Danio rerio: one gene and its partners. The protein of the gene in region 1 interacts with the protein of each later gene in a pairwise test. Links are inferred from orthologs where the notes say so. Each region holds a gene or a part of one and is shown in the gene's direction. Other genes may lie near its edges. The genes, in order: tmpoa, lmna and lmnb2.

What was found.
Region 2: the proteins of tmpoa (region 1) and lmna interact in a two-hybrid assay, tested with the Homo sapiens proteins (2 studies listed by BioGRID, with this or other methods). The link is inferred for Danio rerio from reciprocal best matches to the Homo sapiens genes TMPO and LMNA.
Region 3: the proteins of tmpoa (region 1) and lmnb2 interact in a two-hybrid assay, tested with the Homo sapiens proteins (2 studies listed by BioGRID, with this or other methods). The link is inferred for Danio rerio from reciprocal best matches to the Homo sapiens genes TMPO and LMNB2.

The regions. Positions count from the first base shown.
Region 1 is NC_133179.1:17,461,776-17,465,921, reverse strand, and holds the start of tmpoa (thymopoietin a), read left to right. Parts: upstream 1-1,253; 5' UTR 1,254-1,311; coding exon 1,312-1,548; exon of another isoform or gene 1,549-4,146. Other genes in the region: strap (serine-threonine kinase receptor-associated protein), read left to right, coding at 68-129. UniProt on the Homo sapiens protein: May help direct the assembly of the nuclear lamina and thereby help maintain the structural organization of the nuclear envelope. Possible receptor for attachment of lamin filaments to the inner nuclear membrane.
Region 2 is NC_133191.1:33,786,960-33,791,216, reverse strand, and holds the start of lmna (lamin), read left to right. Parts: upstream 1-1,359; 5' UTR 1,360-1,434; exon of another isoform or gene 1,435-1,767; intron 1,768-4,257.
Region 3 is NC_133197.1:3,269,303-3,272,957, reverse strand, and holds part of lmnb2 (lamin-B2), read left to right. Parts: intron 1-2,009; coding exon 2,010-2,146; intron 2,147-3,655. UniProt on the Homo sapiens protein: Lamins are intermediate filament proteins that assemble into a filamentous meshwork, and which constitute the major components of the nuclear lamina, a fibrous layer on the nucleoplasmic side of the inner nuclear membrane.

The DNA.
Region 1 (4,146 bases):
AACTCCCTTATAGTTAGGCATAAACCTATTATTGTATCCTATGGTAAAACCTCACATTGTCTTACAGAGGAGCTGTCATCAGAGAACTCTGAAGCGCTTTACTGCCCTCCAGCAGAGATCAAGGCCTGAGTCAGGAAAAAGAGAGAGACAACGAGGCAAAGGAGGAAAGATCACGGGACAGGGAGAGGTCAGGGGACGGGACGGGTCAAGAAACCACACCCCAGCAGAGTGCTGTGCCACCACCCTTCTTCACTAGAGACAGACCGCGCTGCCAAGCATGACTTTTAAACGTGAAGATGAAACCCACACGTACGCATTGTGGAAAATCAGGAGACGGCGGTAGAGCTGAGAGTGCTAGTGCTAATGCTAATCCTCCAGCTGCCTGCTCTTTCTTTGATAGCCATGAAGCATCAGTCAGCTCCTTGGTATAAAAGCGGTCGGTTTCTGCAGCACTGTGATCACTTTGGTTGAGATTTACTTTTGTTTTGTTTTATTTTGGTGTTATAATGTGCTTTCAGTACAATTTGTTTGTTATCGCAAGAGCTCAGTGTTCAGTTTGAAAACATCTCTCAGCAGAAGTGCTTTTGAGGAACTTGCTATTCAAGTGTTTATCAATAGTAGTGTGAACTTGTGGTAAATGTTTTCCATGAGTGCTCGGGAAATTTGTAAAACTTTAAAGTGACTTAAGTTCTTTAATCGTTTTGTCTTTGGTTGCAACATATGTTGTATCATTTGGCCAATAAAATGTTGTACCTTTATCATCTGGAATATTTCTCTTTATTTGTGTATGTCTAGATCAGTCACATATGAGTTGTATCTTAAGGTGATACAGTTCACCAAAAAATGACAATTCTGTCTCAAAATCAGCTTAGAATTGGACATCTTTTCAAAATGTCTTGTTTTAAACCCAAAGGAAGATATTTTGAAGAATGGTGGAAACCAGTATGCATTGAATTTCCTATTTGCCTCCAAAATTCTTTAAAATACATTATATTGTATTAATTCTTTAGATGAATTGTCACTTTTATATCGTATTGTTTACTTCCTCAATGAAGCAGCTGTTAAGTAGTTTAATTTTTAGTCTTATTCTTAATTATTGTTCTTTCTACTCGTTATGCGAAGTGAATCTCCTATAAACAAGAGGTCGAACTCGTCTATTTATCGCCAGTGATTTTAAATAGTCCACCCGCCAATCAGAAGGCTCCTTTCTGCGGCGCGCATCCAATAGGGGTCTCTCTCCTAAGGTGGTCACTGATCCCATAAAAGAAATCAGCCCCAGGCAGCGATAGTGTCCTGCTGGAACCAACAGACATGTCGGAATTTCTGGAAGACCCGTCCGTGCTTACTAAAGACAAGCTTAAAAGTGCATTGCTGGCCAATAATGTTGCTCTCCCGAACGGCGATCAGCGAAAGGACGTGTACGTGCAGCTGTACTTAAAGAATCTGACCGTGCAAAACAAAAAAAGTAGCGGCTCTCCAGATGTCTTTTCCAGCGACGAGGAGCTTCCTCCAGCGCCCGTGGTCTCCAACAGGAGCCGCTCCGGCAGGGTGGGTTGTTTGGAGATGCTTGCTTTGTTTTAGCTACACATGGATTGTGAATCAGATGTGGTTGACGTAATTCGCAGGTTGAATTGTTATTATTTTTATCAAGGCATGTATCTTTTAAAAGCCTGTTTGTTTGGTAAAAGTTGAGAGGTTGGTATTATTAAGTTTATTGTTGTAAGTGTGTAGTGTGAGCCTGCACATGTCTCGCAAATGAAAACAAACCGGCATGGCGAACTTTTTTACTATGGTGTCCGGTTTGTGAACGAATCGTTACTTTTCACTTGAATCATTTCAGTGAATCACTTAACGTCGGTTTGAACGATTCCTTCAAATAAATGTGGTTTGTGCTTTGTGCTATGCTTGAATGAGATTTACAGTTGTGAACCTCAATTTTTACTTTAATGAGTACTATTAAAATAGATACATAATATTATAGTCGAGGACTTGTTTTGCTCTTGATGTTTAATGAATACACATTATATTAAAATTATATATGCTTAATCCGTGCAACTAAGGCTAATGGAAATATTATAAACTACCCATAATATAATCAAACACTTTGAATGCTTATTGCTATAATATGTTGCTACTGGATGTCAGGAAATGCAGTTCCATTAATGAGTCAAAATTTGAAATGAATTGTTCAAAAGAACCGATTCCTATTCGTCGAACATCCTATTACTCATTACCCTGCGACAGTTTCCCGCTTAAATGACTTGGCCTGATTCATTGCATTACTAATAATAGTTCAAAAGCCATAACTCCATCTGGCAAATTCATAAATGCATGACTTTGTAGGGATTATTAAGTATTCTAAATGAAAGTGCACTGCTTTGTGTAATCTTTTACACATCTGATTAAGGTGTTGCCATTGAGAAGATGTAAAAGCCCAAATTTGAATGAGAAATATGGGAAGATTAATAACCTATAAATTAAAATCCAGCGAACTAAGCCTTGAGATGGCTTCTTGAGTTTTGTTAAATCAATGAAACATCTGGGTAAACACTTAGAGAAGTGGGAGTTTTCCTCCCTTCACTTGTATTTGCTGCTATTTCATAAACCAATAGTCTGTAGTTTTGGATTGTTCTAGTGCATGCCTGGTGCTTTTTTCTTCACCTTTTTCTATCAGATGTAATTTTATGTCTGTTGACGCTGTTATTAAGCGGGAATACTACAAGTTTGTAGTTGGTTCTGTTTTTATAACCAACCTGATAAGCTCACTCCCCCACCCCTGCAACTACACAGGAGTCCTTTTATGTTTTACAGAGATGTTTGATGTTAAGGGCACCTCCAGTGCTCGTGAATGAGATAGTGCTGCCTGTCATTCTAAAATCTTCCCGCACAGCATTTTACTCCCATTAACTCTCTCTCTCTTTCTTTCTCTCTTCATCTATATAGTCTGGCAATAGGTTTTTCTTTAGGAATAAAACCCTTTAGAGTATGTGATTTATCAAGGTTGAAATCCATTCGTAAGGTAGATCTCTTAAATTAAGACTCAAGAGTTTTCAGTGTTTTAGATGACTGTTTATACTTTGTGCATTTATTTATCATTTGTTTAAATATTTCTTCATTTACTGTTAGTCTTTTTATAAATCACAATTATTATTTTATTTTCTTATTTTGTGTGTTATGATACAAACTATGATAATAATAACAATACTATGCAGCCCTATAGACCCCATATTAAAAGCTTTGAGCAGATAGCTGCAGGTCTAGGAGCTGTAGAATAATTCAAGAACTGCACAAGGCTGTTTTTATAGTGGGTTTGGTCCCTTTATTGAGGAAATAGATTCTTGTGTGAAGGAATTCATATGTTGGCTGCCAGATGTGTGTGTGTTGCATTCCTCTTTGAAGCTCCTGTGTCTGAGATAGTAATTTCAGAAACATTCGACACGCACTCACAGTCACATTTCTGGGATGTTTTGTTGTGCACGGTTTAGAATTTGCAACAATCGTGACCTATAAAGATGATTGATTTGATTATGTCATCACTGCATAGTGAGAGTTATGAGAGTTGTTGTGTTCAAATAAAACGGGTCTTGAAGCTCTGATGCAAAAGCCATAATTGGGCAAATTGTGGTTAACCAAAAACATCATGCTGCTTTTATTGCTAATTTCCAAAGCGATGACATTTAGTATTGAAGCATGTGTGTGTAACGGCATATGCTAAGCCACAGGACTGAAGGTCAGAAAAAAACTTATCGCTTATCGCAAACCAGCAATGTCAGAAAAGCAAAAGTTTGCTCTGAAACTTTATGCTAAATCCAAAATTTTTTATTTGTAGCTTAGAAATGTAATATTCTTTAAATTCGTAAGTAATTTTGGATGTTGAAATATGTTCTCAGACTTGTAAACAAGCAGCATTTGGTAATGTTTTTGTTATTGGGGTTATAGTAAAATAATTTAGTAAATAGTTTAGTTTTTATTTAATACAGTAACTGAATAATCAAATGTAATGAATGTCTTCAGTGGAGTGCGTAAAACACATGAAATTAAAGAGAAGGTAAAGAGACCCGATTGGAGGAGGCTCGTTCTTTATCCTCGCGCTGCAGGGGGTCTGTTTAACTGTTTTCTCATTAGTGAAGTGTTCAGATTTTCTAC
Region 2 (4,257 bases), on another chromosome or scaffold:
TCTGTTTATGTAAAATGGGATGGGGGGGGGGGGGGGGGGGGTTGCTGGGCTTAGATGTATCTTTAAACTAATAATCCATGAGTTTTGGGGTGGCGAAGTGACGCAGCGGTTAGAGCTGTTGCTTCACAGCTAAAAGGTTGCTGGTTCGAGTGCCTGCTGGGTCAGTTGGCATTTCTGTGTGGAGTTTGCATGTTCTCCTATGTTCGCGTAGGTTTTCTCTGGGTTTTCCCCACAGGTTCAAAGACATGGGCTATAGATGAATCGGGTAAGCTTAATTGTCCGTAGTGTATGTGTGTGAATAAGTGTGTATGGATGTTTCCCAGGGATAGGTCTGCTGTGGCGACCACTGATTAATAAAGGGACTTAGGTGAAAAGTGAATGAATTAATGAATCCATGAGTTTTTTAAATAGACTGCCCATCTTAGCAAAACATTATTTGAAATATGTTTAATTATATCAATGTATTGGTAGTTAATGCTATCTAAATGTACAAAAAATATAGCCTACATGTTAATGGTTGTTAACAAAATGTGAAATATTATCTACTGCTCTTGCATTCAGCCCACAAATATTGCTGGTGCTGCACAACCAGAGGCTGCAGTTTCAGAATTACATTTCTAGGATCAAATATGGCCTTACCCCACCCCTATGCCTTAACCCAACCACCGCCTACTGGACGGATCAGGAAGAACAATTTCTAAAAATTCTAAGGGTGCTTGAATTGCTGTCCTAGAAATGCGTTTCAGTCTCTCTGGTTTACCAGGAACTATTTTGGCTGCTCTTCTGTGCCCAGCTATTTAGATTTAGAGTTAGCCGAAGCCTGCAGTCACTAGTAGCTACTGCTCTTTTGATTTGAGACACTCTTTAAAAAGTTGCTAAATGAAGCCAAATGAATGTTAAAAATAGCTAAATTTGTTGCTGGGTGCTTTTAGGGAAACAAGCTAGGGTATTATGACAAGTTGCTAAAAAGTTAGCAACCAGGGTTTTACAGGGTTTTGTCAATCAGACTTTCAGTTAAATAGTCTTGACCTAATGTTTCATGTAGCCAAATGTCTATGTGCTAAAAAAAATAAGAATAAGTTAGCAAATCTTACCTTTTGTTTGTTTTGATCAGAATCATGAGGATCTTTCACAGTCACTATAATGCTAAGAAAATAAGGCATATACATCAAGCTACTAAAATTTTCATTGCTATTCGTCAAGTTACTAAATGGGAGCCTGATAAAAATGTGTGATTTTTTTAATACTTCAGTCAAAATTCATTACCTGTGTATGTTTTTGTAGACCACGGTAAATTTCTGCGTTTCTATGTATCGGCCACTAGAGGACGCCGCACGATTCCATCATTCTGCTGCACTCACTGCTCTGCTAGTGTGCGGCGATGGTGGATCCATGACGCCTGCAAACAATTCCTGATTTTGGGCTTCGGCAACTGTGAGTCACTATTTCCCTGTCTGAATCTTTGGTCAAACATTTAATCTTCTGCGGTGGTTACTGTAGTCCGTAGCAACAGCATTTATGTCGTGTTTATAAATGGATAGATTTGTATGTTCATTCTCAATGCATGACTCAACAGTTTTAACAGCATAATTATTTCTCAAATATATCCTTGCTGATCCCAGGCAGTTCCCGTCTCTAGTCCTGAATTAGTCATTTTGGCATGCCTTAAATTATATACAATTTTGTAAAAAAAAAAAAAAAAAGAATAAAATTTGAAGGCTATACTCACAGTATTCTCAATCACATTAAGTATTCTATAAAAATTACATGCATGCCATGCTGCTGCTAATTATTAAATGTTGTTAGTTTTTTATAAAAAATATTCGTTTTTTTACCGCTACAATTACAGTTGAGGTTATAGTATTAAAAAGTAAAATGTAGCTTTTATTTGATATTTTTTTTAGTTTTCATTTTTTAAGTGTGGGCCTATTTGTTCTTTTGTATTTTTTTACTAATTTATTTTTAAGTTTTAGTAGTTTTAGTATTTAAAGTTCATTTAATACATATATTTTATTTAATAAAATATTTTATTGAAGTTTTTTTTATTTTCATTTTTATTAGTTGAAAGTTATTATATTTTATATATGAGCAATAGCAATTTTACACGAGTAGCAGTGTGATATGGCTGTATATCAGCACTGGTGGGAGCCGTGCGTAAACGTGTTTGCATGCTTTAGTGTTCCACTAGTGACAATAAACAGTCATATCGCACTGTTACTCGTGTGATAATGCGTTTATACAACAGTTTGACGGCATTATTGTGTTTAAAAAAGAAAATCAAACAGAGTCTAAAAATTCTTTTGAATGAGGAACTACTTTCTTTTACCATTCATTCACATCTGAAGCTGATGTCAAAACAGCAAAAACCATTGCTACTTCACCAACGTCACTTTAGAGCTAGTATTAGAATGATTCTCTAGAGTAATATCTAAAGTCAGGGGCCTGCAGGATTTTATTCAAAAGAACGCACATATCCAGCACCACCCTGCCCCATCATCCCTTATTCATATTTCAACCTGAAAAGCACTGGTGCTTGCTGTCAAACGCTATAGGCCTATTATTTAAGGGCATTTGTTACGAAACTGATAGGATCAAACTTATGTTTCCTGTTTATATATATATATATATATATATATATATATATATATATATATATATATATATATATATATATATATATATATATATATATATATATAATATATATATATATATATAAATATGTATATGATTTGCTTAAACACTCCCTCAACTGAACTTGCCGCGAGTGAGATTGAGAAAATGAAAGCACGTCCTTGTATCCTAATTTGAATACATTTTTTATTTGTTGGTTATCTACTAGATAAACAACAATAATAAATATTATCTGAGTGCTACAAAACCAGTTCACTATATGCTTCAGCGCCAAAACGCAAACTGATTTGTTAAATAAAATAATAATCTAGCCTAAATAAAATGAAAGTGAAATATTCACCGTTTCAGAGAAACCTATATTAAACTGTTTTCAGTATTATTTACAAAACCATCCATTGTGCCGGTCAATTTTAATTTAATTAGTTTAATCAAGCAGGTGATTTAAATAAGCAGGACAGGTATTTACAAGGCTATTCGCAGCAGCACTGAGGTGTTTCCAGATTGCCTCGGAAGAACAAACTCAGTTGGAAGGGTAAGAGAACTTAGAAACTCGTGAGAATGGGGATGTCTAAAGCCAAAAGATTTCTTTACCCATGTGCCATGCAAATAATATATATATATATATATATATATATATATATATATATATATATATATATATATATATATATATATATATATAGTATTTATATTCGTAGTTTATATTGTAATTACTTCTGTAAAATAAGTTCTTTTTAAATGTCTGGGTTAAAAAATAACATCTTTTATTATATATATCGGTTTTAGTAATTTTTGTACTTTAGCTACTTATTTTATTGCCGTTTTATTTACTATTATTTTATAATTTTTTTTGTACTTTGTATTTTTTTGTTTTAATCTGCCATGTTTACTGTAGTACATATAGCAGTGGCATTTTAGGGATGTTCATAGAGAAAGACAGAACGATTTGTATGTTCATTCCCAATGCATGACTCAACAGTTTTAACAGCATAGCATTTTACTCAAATAAATACAGTGATTTCAGGCTGTACTCATTTGTAGTCTTAAATTAATCACTGGGAATGATTTTAAGTGTTATATTAACAGTTAAATGCCATTACATTTGAAGTAATGTGAAAATGATTTAAACACTGTAATTCGGAGGTGTCACGAAATTCCTTTCTGGTTGGAACCTGTCATGTCTTGTAATTTGACACATACTGTATGTCCTAACATCTCCACCTTTCGACCACCAGTCTAGAGCACAAATCCACCTCATCTGCCTCAGCAAAATTTCCCAAATTCTCCCCAAAAAAATCTGCAGGTTGTTCCCCGAAATCACTGCACACAATGAACTTCTGATCGTGACTCCTGATTGTGACATAATCTGCTTTTAGTTGTCACAGATGTCAGAAATGCCACTCGGGTGGAGAGACATTTGCTCTAGGGAATCACATTGTTATGTGGGAATGCAGTGGTTGTGTGAGGTAATGCGACGAGAGAATGAGAAGAGAAAGTACAGAACTGATAGTGTTACTCGTCTAGCTGTCAGACGTCTCTCTTATACTGTAGGTCTTTGGATGTTCTGGGACTTTTACACTGAGCCGCCCATGTGCTTGTGCCAGGGTCTTTTTTTTCCACAAC
Region 3 (3,655 bases), on another chromosome or scaffold:
CAAAATTACATGTTACAATGAATAACAACATAACTATTTAATCCACAGTTTGACGTTTAAATTTTCTGTCCAGATAAAGTAAGCTTACTAATGCAGACGCCAGAATGAGATGTCTGCTCTTCATATTAAACTAATTCTATAGACCACTGGTCACCAAACTTGTTCCTGCAGGGCCGGTGTCCTGCAGATTTTAGCTCCAACCCTAATCAAACACACCTGAACAAGCTAATCAAGGTCTTACTAGGTATACTTGAAACATCCAGGCAGGTGTGTTGAGGCAAGTTGGAGCTAAACCCTGCAGGGACACCGGCCCTCCAGGACAGAGATATAGACTAATGAAACTAAATCTATTTATTTGACTTTTTTTTTTTTTTTTTTTTTTTTTTATGTTTCTGATATAACCGCTGCATAGTGTTAGCATCCTGAACGCATCATGATAGGGCTGCACCTTATTGGAAAAATCAGACGTTGCCATATTTTTGTTTTGCTATGATTAGATATTGTGAAATGAATAAAATTTCACCAGATGAATTAAATACAGCTCCATTTGGAAAGATTTCATCAATTACATTGACTGGGGATGATTGATGATTTTTCTTTGCAGTGCATCTACATGCAATATAAGAAATTACAAGCACATAAACATGCACAAATACAATAAAAAATAAATAAATAGCGCATTATGGTTTATTAAGAAATTAAACAATCAAACGTAAAATGACAAGGCATGGGATGATAACCGGTTACAAGGTTTACCGCAGTTTGGAAAAGTCAAGGGTTTTAAAACCACCAAAGTTCTCTGTTATACCATTCCTAAGATATATGTACGTTTTTTTTTATATTATTATTATTATTATATACTTTTTTACATGTTTTTCACAACTATTTTATTGAGTTTTTTTAGGGCAACAGTATCTCGATCAGAAAAGGAACCTCTACATCAAAAGCTTCTGTTCCAAAATATTTTTAATGTTTGTTAAAATAAAATATGTGCAATATAATATGTAATATTATTGGGTATTTGAGGTAAAAGTTGCTGTTTTTTTACCCAGACATTTGACAATAACTTATTTGAAAGCAGAAATCCCAATACTGTGATATTTGTTATTCAAGGTTATCATACCGTCAGAATCTCATACCGGCCCATGCCTATGCACGATATTTGGTAAAACTGACATTGACATATTTAGTTTTGCTGCGATTTTAAATAGCGATACGAATATAATTGCACAAGATGAATTAAATATAGCTTTAGTTAGAAGGATTTCATTCATTCAATTGCAGGGATTATGGATTTTGCAATGCTGTGCATCTGCATGATAAATATTATAAATTACAAACATGTTTAAAAATGATAAAAGTTCAGTAAATGGTGCTTTACGGTTTTCTTGGGAGTCTAAAAGTATTGAACTATAGAAATTGAACTATCAAAATGTAAATGACATGGTTATTGTATAAATAATTGCATACAATAATATCTTCATACTTTCATCTTTTAATAAATAATCAAATCCTGCGATGTGACTTTTGGATAGATCTGCAAAATTTAGGCTTTGCAAAATTTACAAATCGCTAGTAGCCTTTCGGGCAGGCACGCTTCAGATTTTGGTAGCCCGAAATAAATTCAAATGGCTTAAATAGAAAGGATATTTACTGAATAAAAACAAAAGTGTTTACTTAAATAAAAAAATATATAATGGCATTCACTATAGGCTTTTTTGACAATAACCACATTTGATTTATATATTGTTAAAGCATTGAAATGGCCTATATTTTTCCTCCTATTAAGATAGTCCAATGGGCAGAGTAGATCAATTTTTGTTAGCCGACTGGAAAACATTATAGCCCCTGGACACCAGGCTAGCAGTTTTGCGAGCGCTGCATTGAGATATTGATATAATGTTCAGCCCTACTGCATGATCTTCAGTTTGCTGCAGTTTCTCCAGGATCTGTCATGTTTGTCATCATGCTAATCTGTCTGTCTGTGTGTGTGTTTGTGTGTGTTTAAGGTGTCTGGGATCAAGTCTCTATATGAGGCTGAACTGGCCGATGCTCGCCGTGTGCTGGACGAAACGGCTCGCGAGCGCGCTAAACTTCAGATCGAGCTGGGAAAAGTCAACTCTGAGCTTGAGGAGGTCACGCGCAAGTGAGCATCGCACAATAATACATCATTTTAGCCAGTCATGTGACTCAGAAATCGCCTGTTGGCTTTATTATCCCAGTCTTTTAATTACCCATAAGGCTTTAAGTCACTGGTGGTCTTTCCACTTAAGTCGGGCTTACTTAACCTGACTTTAAATCCCACCCCATCTGCTGCTGCCGCGGATAAAGCGGTCGTAGCGAAATCCTGCTCAGGTTTAACTTGTTGCAGTTTGCATCACATCTCGTTGCTAATCAACACACAAACAGGAAGTCTGTTGCTAAGCGCTCTGACTGTGGGCGACTGTGTAAACCACATCATCATACAAACCTGAGGTTGGCACACGCCTCTGCGCTCAAGGGGATTTTTATTTGAGTTTTGAGCACATCTGAGAGTCTTAAAGAGACAGTACACCTAAAAATTAAAGTGTACTCTGATTTTATGTTAAATGAGATAGTTTGAAGAATGTTGAGGGAATAAAAGCAGCCATTTGACATCCATAGTTGTTTGTTTTGATCACGACTGAGAGTCTTAAAGGGACAGTACACCTAAACAATAAAATGTGCTGTTTTTGTTGATATTCTGTATGAATAATGTTGGGGAAAAAGCAACCATTGACATACATGGTAGTTTTTATTTTAAGAAACAGTGCATCTAAAAATTAATTGACTGTTTATGTTGAATAGGATATTTTTAAGAATGTTATGGAAAAGTACCCACGCACCTCCATGGTAGTTTTTAGCACATCTGAGGATCTTAAAGGGGCAGTGCACCTAAAATTTTTAAAATATACTAAATTTTTATATTTAAATAAGATAGTTTGTTTTTTTAGCACAACTAAACAATCTTAAAGGGACAGTGCACCTAAAAATTTTATCACGCTCAGTTTTTGTTAAGATAATCTGAAGAATTTTGGAAAAAAGCAGCCATTGACCTCTATAGTAGTTTTTTTTAGCACAACTGAAAATCTTAAAGGGACAGTGCACCTAAACATTAGAATATACTCATAAATAAAAGCAGCCATTGACATCCATTGTAGGACTTAGGCCTATCACAATAATCCCTATATCGACACAACATATGGACATGACCTCAATCATTTTTGGTGATCGGCCATGCATAAAAATACAATTCTAGCAATATTTTAACTGATTGTGCAACATCTCTATCTCTATTGCAGGTGTCAGTGTCAGTATGGTTAAAACACTATAGTATTTACTATAAATTACTGTAGTATATTTTCAGGACTTTTTGAAACTTTGACATTATTTTCACTTTTTTTTTTAGTAATGTTGTTAAAGGAGGCATCTGTTGTAGATTTTGGGGTCTGTGAAAAACTTTTGTTTTTGGTATTAATTAAAGACCATCCCGCGTTTTCTCAAATTTACATCTGAAAACCTGCAATTAGAGCTGCACAATTAATCGAAAAAAGATCACGATCTCGAGTCGTCCCCCTAAACGATCTTAATCCAGCATTTCTACGACTCTGCCAATCATATTTTCAAGTTCAGGAGA